Sus scrofa: one gene and its partners. The main gene of each other region encodes a partner of the protein of the gene in region 4 in a complex. Links are inferred from orthologs where the notes say so. Each region holds a gene or a part of one and is shown on either strand. Other genes may lie near its edges.

Region 1 (4,196 bases), on a different chromosome or scaffold from region 4:
AAAAAAAACAAAAAACAGAGACAATAGTGCAACCTTGGGGCAGGTCCAGATTCCTCCTCAAGGAATATACATAGTATCTTTGAGCCCTTCTGCAGAACTATTACTTGATGAAGTATGAAGCATTCTTCAGTGGAAAAAAGGAGGACCACCAGAACCAGTCCTGGGGCCACTAAACAGGAGCGTGAGAAACCGTGCAAGTTTGCCTCGACCCTGGTCCTTAACTGCGGCTCTATTTTCCACTCTTACACTGTAAAACCATCTCCTAATCTCTCTCAAGGGGACCATAGTCTTTAGGGCACTAACCTGCTCTGGCCCTCCTTTGGCAGAGCAATAGAGATATCTTTTTCTTCTTCACCCAAAACCCTGTCTCTGTGCTTCAACTGGGCATCGGAGGACAGAGACAGAGTTTTGGCAACACTACCTGCCTCATATCCTAGCTCCCCTCCTCGCACCGGTTTCCTCCGTGCTACCTGAGATTCTGTCTCCCGGGCCTAGGTCCTAATTTTGCTCCAAATAAAACTTAACTCTCAACTTTTAGGTGAAGGTCTCCAGCCACCCTAAATCCGGCCAGGGCTGGGTCTCCCATTCCATTACCTTTGCTAGAGTGTAATACGCCCCCCTGGGTTTTTTTTTTTTTTTTTAATTCCAAACTATTATCCTGCCGGACACTTTTCAGCCTACCACTACCAACTACCCATCCTCTTTCTCGCACCCACTCTCGCTACTCACCCAGCCGCGTGGTGCGATCTTGAGGTGCCGCCGGCCTGTCCCCGGTCCCATGCTCAGCCTCGAGCTCCTCTTGCTGCTGCCGCGCTTGTTGCAAAATCCGTCGGGTCAGCCGAGGCCCCACGTACTCCTCCTCCTCTTCTCCGGTTCCGCGACCCCGCCGCTTTTCCCGGGTCCCCGCCCGCACCGCATTCCCAGCCAGGATTTGGTCGGCCAGGGGCGCATGCTTTTCCTGACCCTCGGCCCCGCGGGCGGCCTTGAGTTTGGGCATTTCGCTAGAAAACCTCGCCGGGAAGTTTCACATGTGGGGACAGAGGAAAAGCTCTGAGTGCGCCGGCGCAGGGAACTCCCCAGAGGCCAGACGGTGATTACAGCGCCCCCTGGTGTTCGGAGGCCGGACCTGCCACCATCCCCGCCCCACCCCCTGATAGAGCTCCTGAGTCCTGGAGCTGGACTCCCGAATAAACTCATTGCAATTAACATCGCCTTCTCTAAGCAGTGGCAGTCCAAGCCACGCTTTCTTAGCTTCATGAATCTAGGCCCGGGGTGATTTGTCGAATAGGAAGTCCCCGAGCTGCAAGCCTAGGGGGCGGAGCCCTGCAGTGACGTCACTGGAGGCGCCTGTACGCCCCGTTCCTCGTGGCCGCCGAAGGGACTCGCACTTTTTACGTTATTTCCGGAGCACCTCCTACTACCGAAGCTTTCGTTAGGTCGGTGGTTTCACCTCGCGTGGGCTGCAGCAGAGCACTGCGTATCAGCTGTTCAGTACTGTCATCTTCCTGGCCTAACATCATGGGAGTGACTTGGTAGGACTTCAAGGGATTTCGTGGGGCGAAGCTTGGGGTGGTGAAGGGCCGGTGGAGCCTCCAGTGTCCCCGAGAGGAGGATCGGGATCAGGGTCTGAGAGAGATGCCCTCGAGTTGTGTGGGTGAGGGGACCACTGTGAGGGCTGCGAAATCTGCGGGCCTTTTTCCTCGGAGATGCGCCCCTTCTTTCTCAAAGGTGGCAGGTTAAAAATTTTTATCTTAAGAATCCACCAGTGGTCGCGTACCTCCTTCCGTTTTTCTTGGTATATTCTTCCTGCTCGTCATCCCACAGTACTGCCTGGGGTCGGAAATAGTATGTCGGGTTTAGGACCCATCTGCAGTCAAGGTTGGATGGGTTGTGGGGAGGGAGATAGACAACATTGAAGGCAGTATCTTTTTTAGGTTTTTGCCCTTCCCTATGGCCACTAAATGCAGTTAGACCAGCCTGTGTCTAGTTCTAATTTGGCCATTTTAAGATCTCGGGTCTAGAGGGGGAAAAAAAGAAGCTATTGGGAGTTAGGAGATTGGGATGTTAGGCACATCACCTCCTCAGAACCTGTTTCCTACTATGTTTAATTACATGCTTGGTTTAGTTTCTGTGGACTTAATATCTGTAACGTGTTATGAGTCAGAGTGCAGGGAAATATGGGCCTCATGCTCTTGGAGGCATTAGTTCCAAAATGCTAGATTTCAGGGCTTAAAAGAAAAAAAAAAAAAAAGGTATCTGGAGCATCTTTCCAATCAGAGAGGGCTAGAGGCCAGGGTATCAGGAGTCAGTGGCTATAGAGTCTTCATATAAGAAAAGAGCCTGTGGGAATTCTTCCTCCCAGTCACCCAAGTCTTGCACACTTGTCAGTGACTGCACATTTGCTTCCTGCAGTTGACATCATGAGCCTCTTTGGAAGTCTTTTAGTGTAAGGAGGATGTGAAGAATGGAGATGAAAAGTTTCCTCCGCAGAGGCATGGAATCCTGGAAGCCCCTGTTGTTTTTTTCTTTTCTTTTTTAAATTAAAATATAGTTGATTTACAACATTGTGTCAGTTTCTGCTGTGAGGCCCCTGTTGTTGTTTTTGTTTTTGTTTTTGTTTTCTTTTTTCTTTTTTTCTTTTTAGGGCTGTTCCTACAGCTTTTTTTTTTTCTTCTTCTTTTTTTCTTTTTAGGGCCGTTCCTGTGTCACATGGAAGTTCCCAGGCTAGAGGTTGAATCAGAGCTGTGGCTGCCAGCCTGTGCCACAGCAATGCCAGATCCGAGCTGCATCTGCAACCTACACTACAGCTCATGGCACCGCCAGATCCTTAACCCACTGAGCGAGGCTAGGTGATCGAACCCATATCCTCATGGATACTGGTCACATTCTTAACCCGCTGAGCCACGAGCAGAACTCCGAAGCCCCTGTTCCTTCAGTGCAGAAGGCAGACAGAGGGAAAAGGCCCTCTGTTGGGACCCTTCTCGACTTTTCAGATTCCTAGTACTTTGGACCCCAGTTGTATCATCTAAGGGATTCTCTTATTTTTCAAAATAAAGGCCATCATCATTGTGGCTTGTTAGTGCTCTTCCTGATGGAGATTACTGACAATTTGTAGCAACAGCAGGGGTCTGTTTTTATATTTTCCTTTAGTTGATCATAATTGGTCATAAAGTAATGCAGTACCTCCCAAAATTCAGCCACATAATGATTGTCTTTATGATTTTTATATAACTTCATAGCACTTGAACTATTTATTTTTTTTTAATTTTTTTTTTCTTTTTGCCATTTCTTGGGCCGCTCCCGCAGCATATGGAGGTTCCCAGGCTAGGGGTCTAATCAGATCTGTAGCCGCTGGCCTACGCCACAGCTCACGGCAACACAGGATCCTTAACCCACTGAGCAAGGGCAGGGATCGAACCCACAACCTCATGGTTCCTAGTCGGATTCGTTAACCACTGCGCCACGACAGGAACTCCTAATGCTTTCTTTTGATTCTGTTTTTTTCCTTATAAGTATTTTAACAGACAACTGTATCCTTAGGAAAGCATTCTTTTTTTTTTTTTTCCTCTTTCAGCTGCACTCGAGGCATATGGAAGTTCCCAGGCCAGGGACTGAATCTGAGTCACAGCTGTAAGCTGTGCCACAAATGTGGGAATGTCAGTTCCTTAACCCACTGCCCCAGGGCAGTATCAAACCCATGCCGTCACAGAGACAATGCTGATCCTTAACCACAGTGGGAACTTGGAAAGCTTTCGGTGGAGCATTTAAGAGCATGGACACGGAGCCACCTCACTTGACTACACTGCATTAAGCAGTATGACCTTGTGCCAGTTACTCAACCTCTCTGTTCAGTAGTTTTCTCATTTGTAATGAAGAAATGATTATGCTGTGTCTTATAGGGCTGATGCAAGTTAATTCATCTAAAGGCTTTGGGCACTGCCTGGCTCATAGTTGGTGCTTGGTAATTATTACCTACCACTTAAAGTAGAAGCCAGTTGCACTCTCCATAGAAGGAAATCTTGGAAATAACTTTTTATCTCATTGTTTTGGCTAAATTCTTGTTGCCTCTCACTCTCAAAGATTAGAAACTTGAGGCTTGCTTTCTCTTTGATCCAAGGATCCTTAGAACTTTCTTCATTGATGAAAATGTTCTATGTCACTGTCCGGTACACCAGTTCCTAGCCACTTGTGGCTAT
Region 2 (3,291 bases), on a different chromosome or scaffold from region 4:
AGTCACCTGGGCAACGCTGCAAGTGCAGGTGCTTGGCTCCTGCCCAGATGTGCTGCTCAGCAGCTCCGGAGTCACTAGGAAGTGCTCCGGGGACGCCTCCGATGTGCTTCAAGTCTGAAAGTGCTGCGTGTTAGGCCAGAGGTGGTGGGCTGAGGGCGCACCTGTTAGAGGGCCTCTTAAGTCACACGTTAAAGGCTCTCGTTCCTAGAATCCTCAGTCCCTCATATTTCAACGAAAAAGTGCTGAATTTTGACATTAGTTTCACCTTTCGGTATCTCATTACAACAACAGTAATAATACCAACACCTAGAGAGCGCGTTCCCCACGCCTGGCACCACTGTAATTGCTTTTCGTCATTCTGAAAAGAAACATGATAAAAGGTACTGTTTCTAAGCTCCATTTGGCAAATGGGGTTACAGAGGGCTTAAGTAATTTGTTCACAGTCACCCGACTCATAAATGTCAGGTCAGGATTTGAGGCCAAGCAGCGTCTCTGCAGAGTCCCCGCCGATAGCACCTGGCCTTGCTGCACAGGTTCTGTACCGGGTGCCGTGTTTACATAGCCCCGGGCGGCAGTGCCAGAGATGGCTGTCTGAGAGCCGTGCTGTTGGGAGGGTAGCCGCTGAGCTCTGGAAATACACCTGATATGACTGAGAAATTGACTTTTTTTTTTTTTTTTTAATTAAGAAAAAAATTTTTTTCTAGGGCCACAACTGCGGCTTATGGAAGTTCCCAGGCTAGGGGTTGAATAAGAGCTGTAGCCGCCGGCCTCCACCACAGCCACATCATCTCGGGATCCGAGCTGCGTCTGCGACCTACACCACAGCTCACGGCAACGCCGGATCCTTCACCCACTGAGCAAGGCCAGGGATTGAACCTGTGTCCTTATGGCTACTAGTTGGGTTTGTTTCCACTGCGCCACATGGGAACTCTGAAAAATTGACTTTTTAAATTTAACTTGGTTTTAATTAATTTGGTTTTAACTCTAAATAGCCACATGTAGCTAGTTTATTCTTTGGGGTATAATGTTTTCCCCTTAGTAGAAAACACAGGCATTTTGGTCCTGTTCTAAATTGGACGTGGCAGTTCAGATGGTGTAGGAAAAAGGTCTTGGTTGAGAGTAAGAAGACGTATGTTTAGTTACTTCTTATAGGAGAACCGGGTGAGCTGATGATTATTAAAATGACTCGTGTGAATGACTACATGAAATTGAAAGGTTTTTAGTTTTTAACTGGGGGGAATGAAACCCTCTGAACTGTGGTGTTATTGATCAAAAACCGTGTACCTCCCACAAATGTGCCAAAAGGTAAAACTTTGAGAAGTAATGCAGTGATGTTTTTATGATTTATGGTTTCAGCTTCAGAAATTGCTTACCATGGACCCAATAAAGCGAATTACCTCAGAACAGGCTATGCAGGATCCCTATTTCTTAGAAGACCCACTTCCTACATCAGAGTAAGTGATCAGTTTATTAACTCACCAGCACAATAGAATTTTTTGGTGCGTGCTTTTTTTTTTTTTCTTTTTTAAAGCCACTTCTGTGGCATATGAAAATTCCTGGGCCCAGGCTCAAACCCATGCCACAGCAGCGCGGGCACTGCATCCTCAGCCCACTGTGCCGCCAGGGAGCTAGCTCTTGGTGCGTGCTTTTTTTTAGCTGTCAATGCCAGGTTGCTGCTGCTCTTGTTCGGGGACTCAAAGAAATCCTTATGACAAGCAGAAAACGAGCTGGTGACTGAGAGCCGTCAGGCTTTTACAGCGGAGAGACGCTGCTGCCCTGCTTGCTGCCCGCGGCCGGTGGCGGCGGTAGTCGAGGGCGGGCTGCTCCCACGCACTGGCACTCCCTGGGGCTCTGAGCCGGCGCACTGCTTGCACTTAGTTCTGTGTCCCAGTTGCAAGCCCCACCCCAAAGAAGTGTGTGGTCCCCATACATTCCTTCTTTTTTTTTTTTTTTTTTTCCGTCTTTTTGCCTTTTCTAGGGCCGCACCTGCAGCATACGGAAGTTCCCAGGCTAGGGGTCCAGTCGGAGCTGTAGCTGCCAGCCTGCACCACAGCCACAGCAACATGGGATCCGAGCCACATCTGCAACCTACACCACAGCTCACAGCAACGCCAGATCCTTAACCCACTGAGCGAGGCCGGGGATTGAACCCGTGTCCTCATGGATCCTAGTCGGGGTGGTTAACCACCGAGCCACGGTGGGATCTCCCATTTCGTGCATTTTGGATGCAGTCTGGAGGGTAGAATGCAGTTTTGTTGAGTCATGACATTCCAGCTGCGATCTCTGCCTTGGTTGTGGTGCTGAAGGAGCAGTGCCGACATAAAGGAGAGCCGAGGCCCTTTGGATGGTGCCTGGGGGTGCCGGTGCTTTTGTTCAGTCACTGGTTGGGAGAAGACACGCACTGCCTCGCGGCTGCACCGGCAGGGAGGCGGAGGCTGTCTGAACGGTGAAAGCGCGTTTGAGACGCTGATCAGCGCGCCGGAAATCGTTGTTGTCTCTTCTCTTTCCTGGGTCAGCGTTTTTGCCGGTTGTCAGATCCCGTACCCTAAAAGAGAGTTTTTAACGGAGGAAGAGCCCGAGGACAAAGGAGACAAAGTAAGTGTCAGGGTGCGGGGCGGCTTCGTGCGTTTCTGCTGGGGTGCCGCCTGCCTTCTGCGGCCGCGGCCGCGGTTTGCTCCCCTCTGAGTTGCTCTCTCTCTTTCCGTTTCACCAAATTGAGAAGAACCAGCAGCAGCAGCAGGGCAATAACCACACTAATGGGACTGGCCACCCCGGGAACCAGGACAGCAGCCACACGCAGGGCCCCCCGTTGAAGAAAGTGCGGGTTGTTCCTCCTACCACTACCTCAGGCGGACTCATCATGACCTCAGACTATCAGGTACGGCCGCCCGCAGCCCTGCATGGGGGTGGTGGCCCCGGGGCCGCGGCGGCAGGAGCACAGCGCCAGCCTCTGCTGCTCGGGAGACGTTGGCCTGGGGGGTTGCTGGCCTGCAAAGCGCCAGGCGGTTCTGTCGAGGAGGCTTAGCCAGGCGTGGAACGGTCGGACCGAACGGCGCCCCTGTTAACCCGGTGGCCTCGGTCAGGTCCTAGACAGGGCCTGGCTTTGGCGTCTCCTCCGGAGCACGAGCCGCGGGAAGCCACGTGGGGGCGGGTGGGCCTCAGCGCCCAGCGTCCAGGAGGTGCCCAGGAAGTGCCGTCTGTCGTCTGAAACCACGGCAGCTAGGGACGCGGTTAGGCCTGTGGGCAGCCTTGAGTGGGAGGCTGGGGCCCTCGGCTCCCGCGTTGGTAGGA
Region 3 (3,511 bases), on a different chromosome or scaffold from region 4:
CCGGAGACTGGCCCTGCAGCTGGATGGTGTGAGCAGTCACTCGTCTCATGTGATGTCTGCTCAGTCAACAAGCACACTACCCACCACCCCTGCTCCTCAGCCCCCAACTAGCAGCACACCCTCTACACCCTTTAGTGACCTGCTTATGTGTCCTCAGCACCGACCCCTGGTTTTTGGCCTCAGCTGTATCCTTCAGGTAGGTACTCGGTGGGCCTATGGAAGTATTAAGAGACCTCTTGAGAAGAATTAGGTGCCTGTCCTGGAAAATAGGGGGATTCTAAATTGGAGGTGAGAGTAGGCACTGAGTACTTGCTTGGAAATTGTTGGCTGCTCATTCATGGGGCGATAGTTCCTTTTCAGGTAGTTCCCTTCCAGGTCTACATAGTAGGCCCAAAGCCTTTGGAGGAGAGTGGATGAGGGGAGGGGCTCAGAGATGGAGTGATGCCACCCTAGGGACTCAGAATAACTTTGGATTGGAAATCGAAGCATTGGGTCTTATGATGGGCTTCTGGAAAGGTAGCCATGGTAACCGAGTTTGACTTAGCTGTTCCTGTCTGGCAGACCATCCTCCTGTGTTGTCCTAGTGCCCTGGTTTGGCACTACTCGCTGACTGATAGCCGAATCAAGACTGGCTCACCACTCGATCACCTGCCTATTGCCCCCTCCAACCTGCCCATGCCAGAGGGCAACAGTGCCTTCACTCAGCAGGTAAGTTGGACCAGTAGCCTGCTTACCGCAGGTTTGGATATAGAGGCTGAAGTTACTCTTTCAGAACTAGTGACTTGGAGCCTACTACTATGCTTTTAGCCTGGAGCCCTAGCCTTTTTGTATGCTTTGCTCCATCCTTAAAACCTTCCTTTTGGCAGGTCCGTGCAAAGTTGCGGGAGATCGAGCAGCAGATCAAGGAGCGAGGACAGGCCGTTGAGGTTCGCTGGTCTTTTGATAAGTGCCAGGAAGCTACTGCAGGTGGGTGCCAGAGGACAGGCAGTAAGAAGGGTGTTTGAGGAAAGGGTGGGGATGGTAATGACATATAGATCTGAGAGTCAGAGTAAGCCTCTGGTTAAGTCCCCTTTACCGCTTTTCCTCTTTAGGCTTCACCATTGGACGGGTGCTCCATACTTTGGAAGTGCTGGACAGCCATAGTTTTGAGCGCTCTGACTTCAGCAACTCTCTTGACTCCCTCTGTAACCGAATTTTTGGATTGGGGCCCAGCAAGGATGGACACGAGGTAATAAGCAAGACGGGGAAGAGGAGGGAAAAACAGCAAGAGCACCAGTACATTTGACGGGAAGGAGGGGTGAGGCACTAAAACTAGAGGATGTCTGAAGAGACAGATGGTCTTACTGGGCCTAGAATGTTTTAAGATGGGGCCCAATCGCTGGGAAATTGGAACTCAGTTTTTTGTCCCCAACTCTGCCTTACTCACCTCCGTCTTCCTTTGGTCTCCAGATCTCCTCAGATGATGATGCTGTGGTATCATTACTGTGTGAATGGGCTGTCAGCTGCAAGCGTTCTGGTCGGCATCGCGCTATGGTGGTAGCCAAGCTGCTGGAGAAGAGACAGGCAGAGATCGAGGCTGAGGTTAGGGGGCCCGGCAGGGAGTGGCAGCTGGGCCTGGAGCCAGATTGAGCTGATAGTGGGACCAATGTTGAAGGTGTGAGAGTAAGAAGTGGTTAGAGAACGTACAGGGAAAGTGGAGGACATGAGGCAAAAATAGAAATGAGTGGATCAGTGTCAGAGTTAGAGAAGTGATCAAGGCTGCAGTTGGAGGCGCTAAAGAAAATAGGAGTCAAGGAGTTCTCATCGTGGCTCAGTGCTAAGGCACCCGACTCGTGTCCATGAGGACTTGGGTTCCATCCCTGGCCTCACTCAGTGGGTTAAGAATCTGGCGTTGCCGTGAGCTGTGGTGTGGGTCACAGACACGGCTTGGATCCTGCGTTGCTGTGGCTGTGGTGTGGGCTGGCGGCTACAGCTCCGATTAGATGCCTAGCCTGGAAACCTCCATATGCCACAGGTGTAGCCCTAAAAAGACTAAAAACAAAGAAAGAAAAGAAAATGGGAGTCAACAGGGGGACGTGGAGATAGGCAGTTGTTCAAGGATTGTACGTGGATGAGTGAAGAAACAGATAAAACCCAGCCCTATGGTTTGTCCTCTCATTTTATAGCGTTGTGGAGAATCAGAAGCCGCAGATGAGAAGGGTTCCATTGCCTCTGGCTCCCTTTCTGCACCCAGTGCTCCCATTTTCCAGGATGTCCTCCTGCAGTTTCTGGACACACAGGCTCCCATGCTGAGTATGGACCCCTGCTACTTTCTGGTTACCTCTGCCTAGACTCCCTTACCCACCCCTGTCATCAGAAAGCATAATGAAAGGCCTTCTGAGATATAATCTTAGCTTGAGCTCTATGCAGAATGTCTTTGGACATAATTCTAGTCTTTGATCATCTTACAGTTTAACAGAGTAGAGAAATAAAGAGTAGAATAAAAACAAGTGCTTAGGATCGGAGCGTTTTCATGTATAAATAGCAGAAATGCTGTGTTCCTTTATTAGATGGGGGGGCAGGAGGTAGGATAACCAAGCATACTTTGTCCCTCAACAGTTTGGGGGGCGTTGGGGGGTTTTGAGTCATTCCTATTCCTGCCTATTTCAGGTACCCTAGGAGCATCTTACCTTAGATGTGTCCCTCTCGCTTTCTGCCCATGTCTTCCATGCTCCCTTACTCATCTTTTCTCATTCCCTCCCTCCAGCGGACCCCCGAAGTGAGAGTGAGCGGGTGGAATTCTTTAACTTGGTACTGCTCTTCTGTGAACTGATTCGACACGATGTTTTCTCCCACAACATGTACACTTGCACCCTCATCTCCCGAGGGGACCTTGCCTTTGGAGCCCCTGGTCCCCGGCCTCCCTCTCCCTTTGATGACCCTGCTGATGACCCTGAGCGCAAGGAGGCTGAGGGCAGCAGCAGCAGCAAGCTGGAGGTGAGCTGGCTTTTCCTCACCCTAGATTGTTTCTTCCTGTACAGTCCCCTCTTCCTGGCTCCTGAAGTAATCTGAGGATCCTTTACCCAGTGATGAGGGTAGGATTTGCTTAGCGCTTCATAGTTTATTTACCAAGCACTCTCACATCATTTTATTATTATTATTATTATTATTTGATCCTCACAACTGCCTCGTTGAGGTATTGTTATCATTTTTTTGTCTTTTTTTTTTTTAGGGCCACACCCAAAGCATACGGAGGTTCCCAGGCTAGGGGTCAAATCAGAGCTACAGCTGCTGGCCTAGGCCACAGCCACAGCACCACGGGATCCAAGCTGCGTCTGTGACCTACACCACAGCTCATGGCAACACTGGATCCTTAACCCACCAAGCAAGGCCAGGGATCGAACCTGCATCCTTATGGATACTAGCTGGGTTTGTTACTGCTGAGCTACAACGGGAACTCCTGTTATTCTCATTTTAAAGCTGAATGAGTAAATCAACTGTAATGGAAAAAATAAAAATCATAAAATAAAAA
Region 4 (3,943 bases):
TCATTTTACAGATGAGGAAACTGAGACAGAGAGGTAAGTGATTCTCTCAAGCTTCAAACCCAAGCAGTGGGGCTCTAACTCCCAGGCTGTTAGCCGCATGACTATATTGTTTCATTTACGTTTCGTTCGTAATATCACAACTTTCAAGCGGCTGAGTCCTATCGCAGATCTAACTCCCAGGCCCACGGGTTTGCGCTGCACCCCAGTGGCCTTGTAGAATAAAGGAGAAGATCTAGGAATTTTTGCAACACTTCTAAGGAATTCAAACGGATTTCAACGTAATTCCCAGATTTGTTATGTGAACCCTGTAAATTCCCCGGGAAGAAGTAAGATAGGGCCAGGGCCCTGGGTCATCTCACGGTGGCCGGGGCACCCAGCAGATGGCGCTATCTTAGTAGCCACCAGCTGGCTGCCCAGTCCCCCTGGGCTCACCGCCTCTGCTGAAAGCTTCCCGGCTCTCCTTCGCTCCCTTCTCTCTCCCCCTCCCCACGGAGCCCGGGCGCACGTGACCTCCAGGCGGCCAATGGGCGAGCAGAGAGGGCGAGCTGGTCCCTGTGGCCGCCATTAAAGCGAAGGGAAAACCCGTGAATTCGGATTAAAGGGGGAAAAACACCGCCCGCTGGGCCCACAAAATGGGGGAGACTACGGCGTCCCGGCGGTGAGGCCGCAGGAGAGCGGACGTTAGGCCGGCTTGGCCCAGGGACGACACGAAGACACAGCCAGAGAATGGTCTGAGCCCGCAGACGCCGCCACCACCTCCGCCACTGAGGAGACTCTGGGCTTAAGGACATCGCCGCTGCCGGGTCGGGGGCCTGGGCTTCTCTCCCGGTTCTCGCCCTTCCCGCCCCTCTGCGGGCGCCTCCCCGCCCGGGAGAGCCCTCCAGGGCCTGGGATCTGCCCTCTCGGACTCGATTTTAATTATTTATTGTGTAATTTATTATATTTTCTTGTGGCAGGGGCACACATCCCCTCTGTCCCCGAGAGGGACGGGCGTCCGCGGGCTCCGCGGCGGCCGCAGTCCGGCCCGCGGGGCGAGCGCGGCGCGGCCCTCCCGCCTCCGGCTCTCGGCCCCGGGCGGCTGGGTGCCGGCCGGGCGGCGGGGACTGCTCGCGGCGGCGGGGGGGTGGGTGGGGAGGGCGGGCGGCCCGGCGGCCTCCTCTTCCACCGCCCCCCAACCACCACCCCCCCGCCCTCCCCGGTGTCTGTGTTTCTCTCTCTGGTCGGAGGCGGCGGTAATGGCGGATGGTGGGTTGTGGCGCCGGCGACGGCTGCTGTGAGGGACGATGAGTTCCTCCTTCGTGCCGAACGGGGCCAGCCTGGAAGATTGTCACTGTAACCTCTTCTGCCTGGTGAGTGCGGGGCGGGGGCCACGGCGAGCGGGCGTTGGGGGAGGGGCCGCGAGGTGCGCCCTTGGGCCGTGGGGGAGGGGGTCCGGGTCGGTTCCAGATGCCGGAGTCCCCGGGCTAGGCCCAGCCGGAGCCGGAGCCGGCGCGGCGGCCAGCTCGGCACCAGCCCGGCGGCCGCGGTCCTCTCCGGCGGTCCCGGGCGCTGTGTTTCGAGTGTCGGCCCTTTTTCTCGTTTCTGACTCTTTTTCCCCCTCCTCTGGTAGTCTGGTCTTTAACTTGGGCTCCTTATCCGGCAGGACACTAGCCTTTCCCTCTGTTTCTTGCTTAACTGTTGCTCTCCTCCTCATGGACCGTGTATCCCTTCTTCACACTTACCCATTATTGCCCGTTCTCCTTCTGTCTCACTCTGCTCATCTGGTTTCCCCCCAAAAAGCGGACCCCGGAACTTAAGCACTCTTTTCGTTGTCCATTTTTTATTGTGAGTCAAACTATATAGGGGGGTTGGTTTCTTCCTTGCGCGACTTCAGGCTCTGTGTAAAAAGGAGTAGATGCCATTTCATATGTTTTTTCTTCAAACTTTGAAAACAACTTGCCATTTTGACAATTTTTAGCCATTTTGCTTTTATTAGAACATTATGTTTGTGAGAGTGGAGCGAACCAGAGGAGGAGGTGCTGTGGTTTTGCACTAAATATTTTTGTATTTGTCTAATTTGCCTTCGTTTTTAGCATATTTTGAGGGGGCTGTTCCTTTTTTTATTGGAAAGTCAGGGAAAGCTAGATTTAGGGATGATAATTGTGTACGTTGGCCCAGATCTGGGAACATCCAATAAAGACTTTCAAAAGTACCAACTGTTGCAAATATTTAGTTTTCAATTGGATAGTAACTTAGCTTCATCAGTGATTTAAAGTTTAGGTGACTTTCTTTTTTCATTTTCCCTATCCTATGAGAAATATTAAGAGAGTGTGTGATAGGTAAGTGAATTGAGTGGGCGGAGCACAACTAGTTGGCCAGTGTAAACTGCCAGTCATGTATCAGCAGTTTCATTTTTGGCACCTTGCGCTTTGCACCTTTAAGTTAGATTCAGAATTACAAGTTCGCTCTAATGAATTTCTTTTCACGATGCTAAACTGAGATCTTTAATTTTTATCTAAAAAATAAAATGTTTTCTTGTACAGTGTCCATTAATTTGCATCTCTTGAGCTGTAAGAAGACAGCGGGTTTTACATTTCTGTCTTCTCCAACTCAGTCTATTTTTGGTACTTTTAGGATCAGGTTCTTTGAAGATAAGACTAGCACAAATCTGACGGTTCTTTGTCAGCAGCTATTTGACTTTTCCTAAAAGGAATATGTAAAGATTTAACAAGATTTTTTTTTCAGTTGTAGTTCAGGTTTCTTTTCGTTAGAGCCATGACTTCTATAAACATGGAATGATGAGTCTTTAAAAATTAATTTTCTGTTATAAGTTTGTCACCAAGGAACAAATGTAACCAGTCAGAACAGAAGTTAGGACAGAGAGCAAATGTTTACTCAGTGTGCAATGTTAAAGTACATGTTTATGTTTAATATTAAGCTTCTTTTATTTCTCCTTGGGACACATTTATTGACTTGTTATTTAGTGACATGTCAGTGTTAATTTTTAAATTGTTTTTGTTCTTTTCCTTTGATTTTTGGTTATTGAATTATCAGAACTAATAAACATTTTTGGGGTCAATCTGCTTTCGATATCCTGAGCATACATTAAAAATTGTAATGACTTAATGAAGAGACTTTAAAGCAAGTGCTTTTGATTTTGAGTGAATATGCCCTAATAAAAAAATCATACTTTGTTTTCTTCAGGCTGACTTGACGGGAATTAAGTGGAAAAGATATGTATGGCAAGGCCCAACTTCTGCCCCTATTCTGTTTCCGGTGACAGAGGAAGACCCCATTTTGAGCAGTTTTAGTCGCTGCCTTAAGGCAGATGTGCTTGGTGTTTGGCGGCGAGATCAAAGACCTGGAAGAAGAGAATTGTGGATATTTTGGTGGGGTGAAGACCCCAATTTTGCTGACCTTATTCACCATGACTTGTCAGGTGAAAGCAACTTACATTTCTAACTAATGATGTAGCCATGTATACTCTTCCCAAAAACGTTTGTATTACAAATTAAGATTGAGGGGGGGTGGAACATTGTTGGGTATGAAACCAGATAAAATTTCAGCTTCATGTTTCATTTCACTGGTTATTTTATTTTACTCAGAATTATGCTTATTATGGCAGGCTTTTTAAGGCTTTAAAAACTTTATTCTTTATTCTTTTTAGCTTTCTCATGAATTTTTGGCAGACAGGGCCTAAGGAAGGCATGCTACATTAATTACCCTAAAAATGTAACCAGGGGAACATTACCTAACAAAGTCATAAAATACTTTTGAAGCCAAGTTTAATTCATCTTTGAGTCATTTCTGCCACTGCTTTCTTCTGTATGAATATGCAGACCGTTGTAGAAGTATCTAGAAGTGTTGTAATTTTCTCATATTTTTTTTTAGGCATATAGTAATTTTTTAAATTTGCAATTCTTAAAAAATTAACATATGAAGGCATTTGTTAATTTTGTTATCC
Region 5 (4,176 bases), on a different chromosome or scaffold from region 4:
TCCAGCCTCTGCCTACATCTTTATGCGGCCTCCTACCAGTGTCTTTAAATTGTGTCACCCTGGGTTATCTGCTTTTATCCTGATTGCCCTTCTCACCTGGCCCCAATCAGGGGTCCCTGCTGTCCACAGGGCTCCTCACTGTTGAACCTCACCCTGATCTCCATTTCCCTGAAGATGGATTATCTGCCTCAATTACTGGGAATCCTGCAGGTGACATTTGTCTCTTTCCCCCTGTGTATTTATTTATTTAACTGTTTATATCAGTACAGACGCCTGGACATTCGCTTTCTTGTTTGGGTTACAACACAATATCCTTTCATTTTGTTGCTCAGATTGTTCCAGGTTTGGATACTGGGAGCTCTTTCAGTGATTCCTGTCTCACTGAGGCGGGGTATTTATTTATTTGAGCACCGGGCTCCTCTGCATATTTGTGCTGCCTTCTAGAACCAGGCATTTCGCCCAGGAGCCCAGTTCCTTTCACTGGGGCAACGTTTAGAAACCAAGAACTGGGTGCTAAGTGTGCTGAGTTCCATTTTAACAGGCATTTTAAAAAGTTTTAAACACAGATGCTAAATAATGGAAATCCAAATGGCTCAGAGGACATCAGGAGATACTGGATTAACCAGCTTGGAGGCTCCCACCTGTGAAGGGGACCGAATTTCTGGTGCCTGGAGGCCAGTCTGGACTTCAGGGCGCGGGTGTGGTGGCTCTAGGGGACTCCACAGGCCTCCTGCACTGACACACAGACTCGGTCCTGCGGCTGCCCCTAGCTGGCTGTTTTCTTCCCACTCCGATTCCCTGAGCCCGGCCCCCATACCTTTGCCCAGGCGCTAACTGCAGCCCAGTACACCTTCCCCGAAATATCAGGAGGTCTTCCTAGAAAAGACTTTCCCAACTGGGGAGAGCCCGACAGAAAAAGAACCAGCTTTTGATAGCGGGAGACGAGTGAATCCAGAGAAGCCCACGACTGGTTAAGCCGTCTTGCTTACGGGGAAAAGAAGCAAGGAAAAGCAAAATATGGAACGCTTCACGAATTTGCGTGTCATCCTTGCGCAGGGGCCATGCTAATCTTCTCTGTATCGTTCCAATTTTAGTATATGTGCTGCCGAAGCGAGCACGACACCGGGGTTAACCCGACCGCTATTTATAGGGCGGAGTATAAAATACTTTACGCTAAGGGTGAATTCCGTTTAGAAGAAAAATACTCAGTAACTTGTCTCTTCTTTTCTGATATCAGTGCAACAATAGCTTAACAGAATGAGGCTACTCACTGAAGTTGAGAAAGTGTTCTTTCACGAAATATAATTCGGGTGGCTGTTGGGAAACTATCAATGTATGTATGCAAATTATATCGGTAGTGGGGCGGGGCCGGAGCCGCTGCTGTCCCAGAAGTCTCCGGGAAACGGCCGCGCTACGTGGGCGACTCGTTGATCCGGGGAAGATGGCGGTGCCGTAGCCGCGCCGATAGGTGGAGTGCAGGCCGTGGCCGTCCGCTCGGCTGGGAGAACAGGCCGTCCCGGTGAGCGGGGACTGGGGACTTGGGCGTTGGGCCGGCCTCAGGACGGTGCCTACGGCCGCGGCGGCGACTAGCGGGCCGGGGGCGGGGCCTGTAGGGTTAGAGGGCGGGCCTGGAGAGCAAGGGGTGCTGGGTACGCGCCCGGGAGCACGTTGGGCGGGGGGGGGGGGTCGCGACGGAAACTTGGGGGAAAGTCTGAGGCGTCTGGGAATCCGGGCACTCCGAGCTGGGGAAAATCGGGGCTGGGCCTGGAACCTGATCAGGGGTTGGGAGGTCTAAGGCTGTATTTTCCTGGGGAGGGGCCTGGGGATTCTGGTGGGCTGGAAGGCGGCCACTGGAGACCAGCACCTGGCTATTGGGTAGTGGTCCCTGGGGTGGAGCCTGAAGTGGCAAAAAGAGGCGGGACTTGGAGGGTTGGGAATTTGGAGGTGGTTATAGGGAGGCGAGTTGTTTGGGAGACCCTGGGGAGAGAACAAATTTAAGCTATCCCTGGGAACACAAGGGGCAAATTGGGACTGGGGTCTGGAAAGCAAATATTGTAGGGGGCGGGGCTGGAGAGCTTTGAGGGCAGAGCTTAAAGACTGCTGAAGGGGCCTCTGGGCAGGGCCTTGGGGTTCCTGGCCAAGGCTTGAGGAAGCGGGAGGCCTGGGGGAAGTGATTGAGAAAGATGGGTTGGTCATACAGTCTCATTGGGTTCTGGTAACGGTGAAAATAACCGTAATCAATGCCCGGCACATAGACAGCAGGTGGAAATGTTCATTGTTTCCGTTGCGGTTGTTACCTTTGAAGTGCTGCACCAAGCTGCTGCCTGCCCCCCATCCTGCCTCCTTGCCTCTGCCAAAGGCTTCTCTAAGGATAGAGCAGTCCCACCTCTCCTCACTGCTTCATGGTCCCCATCATTGTTCACCTGGACTGGCATGGTCACCCCCACCCTGTCCCTAAGCCTTTCTCTCCAGACAGCCAGAGGGGTGTGTGAAACATAAGAAGGTCTCAGCTCCCCTGGGGCTCCCACCTCACTCAGGGTGAAAGCGCAGGCCCTGCATGACCCACCCCACCCTCACTTTACCCCTCCCTTCCTCTCACTCAGTTCCAGCAACATGGGCCCCCTGCCGCTCCTTGATGACCCTGGGCTTGGTCCAGCTTCTGGGCCTTTGCACTGGCTGTTCCCCCTGCCTGGGATATCCTTCCTCCAGGCTGCATTCCTGGATCCCTCACTTCTACGCTGGGAGGCCTCCCTGGCCATCCATGTGTCAGATATAGCTCCCCTGACATACACAGAGCAGGGATTGAGTCTTTGGGTCCCTGCAGTGACCCACCATCCAGCACTGCGCTCTGGGCCCTGAGGCCCTGCATGAACGTCTGTGACAAACTGGTCCTCCCTCCCTCAGAAGCTGGTGACCGCCCTCTGTGTATGACCTTGGCAGCCGGGCACCATGGACCTGGCGTACGTCTGTGAGTGGGAGAAATGGCCCAAGAGCACGCACTGCCCTTCGGTGCCCCTGGCCTGTGCCTGGTCCTGCCGCAACCTCATCGCCTTTACCACGGATCTCCGAAACGACGACCAGGGTGCGCCCCCTCCTGCCCCCCGCATGGGCTCGTGCCCCAGTGCCCATGGACCTCCAGGCCTGTCCAGTCTCTCAGGGTTCCCTCATGTGTGATGAGGGGTGGTGAGGGCCCAGAGGGCACCTGGCACCAGGGGGCACTGGAATCACCCCCAGGGGATGGACCTGTCCAGATGAGGGTGGTCCCCAGCCCCTGCTGAGGCTCCTGCCTGAGTTTTCCAGACCTTATATGTCACTGCTTGGCTTCTGAAAGCCTCTGAGCTGCAGCCTGCCTGCTGGGCCTGTGTTCTCGCTATTGTTGAATGACACATGCTCCTAGAGGAAAGGAGAAAAACACAGACATTTTGGATGAGGGGAAGAAAAAAAGGCATTACCTTCCCCAGAGAGCCACTCTCTGTTAGCATTTTGGGTTTGTTTTTTTCCAGTTCCATTTTCTATGTCTCTTTTGAAAGTGGTTGTAGCCTCTCTGGAGGCAGAGTCATGGACCTGCTCCCATTACCCCTGGGGTCATCAGGCACTCGAGGCCCTGCCATTGTTGCCGCTGACCTGGCCCTCCTTTGCAGACCTGACCCGCATGATCCACATCCTGGATACGGAGCACCCCTGGGACGTGCACTCCATCAACTCGGAGCACAGCGAGGCCATCACCTGCCTCGAGTGGGACCAGTCAGGTGAGGGTGGGGCTCACCCTTGATCTCAAATCCCAAGCTTACTTGTTCTGTCTTTTCCTGGTCATGTCCCCACTGTCCAGAACTAGGATGAAAGCCCTGGCCTTGTGGCTTTTCGGCTCCTTCTCCTCCCATTTTTGGTGACCAGAGTCGTTCCTGGGAGACATGTGTGCCATGCCCCTGCTTGTCTCCCATCCCAGGCCCCAGATGTACTGGGGGGGGTGCTTTGTGACACAGGCTTGCCCCCCTCTTCCCCTGCAGGCTCCCGGCTGCTGTCGGCCGATGCTGATGGGCAGATCAAGTGCTGGACCATGGCAGACCACCTGGCCAACAGCTGGGAGAGCCCAGTGGGCAGCCTGGTGGAGGGGGACCCCATCGTGGCCTTGTCCTGGCTGCACAATGGTGTGAAGCTGGCCCTGCACGTGGAAAA

Evidence for each region.
Region 1: MED13 (region 4) and MED20 share a complex: the UniProt entries of both Homo sapiens proteins name them as parts of the mediator complex. The link is inferred for Sus scrofa from reciprocal best matches to the Homo sapiens genes MED13 and MED20.
Region 2: the proteins of MED13 (region 4) and CDK8 are in contact, whole or in part, in a cryo-EM structure (PDB 8TQC), measured with the Homo sapiens proteins. The link is inferred for Sus scrofa from reciprocal best matches to the Homo sapiens genes MED13 and CDK8. Residues at the interface, in NP_005112.2 of Homo sapiens: Thr1616, Met1617, Asp1618, Arg1619, Lys1621, Val1622, Gly1623, Ile1624, Pro1625, Thr1626, Asp1627, Gly1628, Asp1629, Ser1630, Val1732, Lys1733, Thr1734, Leu1735, Thr1736, Gly1737, Phe1738; in NP_001251.1 of Homo sapiens: Leu9, Glu12, Arg13, Arg71, Lys74, His75, Pro76, Leu81, Gln82, Lys83, Val84, Tyr133, Asp137, His140, Tyr141, Met330, Gln331, Phe335, Leu336, Leu340, Pro341, Thr342, Ser343, Asp344.
Region 3: the proteins of MED13 (region 4) and MED12 are in contact, whole or in part, in a cryo-EM structure (PDB 8TQC), measured with the Homo sapiens proteins. The link is inferred for Sus scrofa from reciprocal best matches to the Homo sapiens genes MED13 and MED12. Residues at the interface, in NP_005112.2 of Homo sapiens: Ser157, Glu158, Thr336, Val337, Pro339, Gln340, Ser341, Gln343, Lys344, Trp345, Lys347, Phe348, Asp1186, Ile1189, Leu1190, Gln1193, Asp1194, Pro1332, Ile1333, Thr1335, Leu1337, Tyr1340, Asp1341, Tyr1342, Asp1343, Tyr1344, Leu1345, Val1346, Leu1347, Ser1348; in NP_005111.2 of Homo sapiens: Ala3, Phe4, Arg12, Pro13, Arg16, Leu86, Thr123, Thr127, Thr150, Pro152, Val153, Met154, Arg155, Phe242, Pro278, Leu281, Arg282, Arg356, Pro357, Phe360, Gly361, Cys364, Gln367, Thr368, Cys372, Pro407, Glu408, Phe413, Val417, Lys1526.
Region 5: MED13 (region 4) and MED16 share a complex: the UniProt entries of both Homo sapiens proteins name them as parts of the mediator complex. The link is inferred for Sus scrofa from reciprocal best matches to the Homo sapiens genes MED13 and MED16.

Annotation. Positions count from the first base shown.
Region 1 is NC_010449.5:37,071,343-37,075,538, reverse strand, and holds the start of MED20 (mediator of RNA polymerase II transcription subunit 20), read left to right. Parts: upstream 1-1,388; 5' UTR 1,389-1,518; coding exon 1,519-1,532; intron 1,533-4,196. UniProt on the Homo sapiens protein: Component of the Mediator complex, a coactivator involved in the regulated transcription of nearly all RNA polymerase II-dependent genes.
Region 2 is NC_010453.5:4,155,440-4,158,730, forward strand, and holds part of CDK8 (cyclin-dependent kinase 8), read left to right. Parts: intron 1-1,356; coding exon 1,357-1,454; intron 1,455-2,516; coding exon 2,517-2,595; intron 2,596-2,719; coding exon 2,720-2,878; intron 2,879-3,291.
Region 3 is NC_010461.5:57,153,873-57,157,383, forward strand, and holds part of MED12 (mediator of RNA polymerase II transcription subunit 12), read left to right. Parts: coding exon 1-196; intron 197-561; coding exon 562-708; intron 709-866; coding exon 867-966; intron 967-1,091; coding exon 1,092-1,228; intron 1,229-1,449; coding exon 1,450-1,581; intron 1,582-2,165; coding exon 2,166-2,292; intron 2,293-2,746; coding exon 2,747-2,976; intron 2,977-3,511. UniProt on the Homo sapiens protein: Component of the Mediator complex, a coactivator involved in the regulated transcription of nearly all RNA polymerase II-dependent genes.
Region 4 is NC_010454.4:36,332,598-36,336,540, forward strand, and holds the start of MED13 (mediator of RNA polymerase II transcription subunit 13), read left to right. Parts: upstream 1-1,143; 5' UTR 1,144-1,283; coding exon 1,284-1,349; intron 1,350-3,183; coding exon 3,184-3,418; intron 3,419-3,943. UniProt on the Homo sapiens protein: Component of the Mediator complex, a coactivator involved in the regulated transcription of nearly all RNA polymerase II-dependent genes.
Region 5 is NC_010444.4:77,489,578-77,493,753, forward strand, and holds the start of MED16 (mediator of RNA polymerase II transcription subunit 16), read left to right. Parts: upstream 1-1,375; 5' UTR 1,376-1,519; intron 1,520-2,904; 5' UTR 2,905-2,949; coding exon 2,950-3,082; intron 3,083-3,641; coding exon 3,642-3,749; intron 3,750-4,007; coding exon 4,008-4,176. UniProt on the Homo sapiens protein: Component of the Mediator complex, a coactivator involved in the regulated transcription of nearly all RNA polymerase II-dependent genes.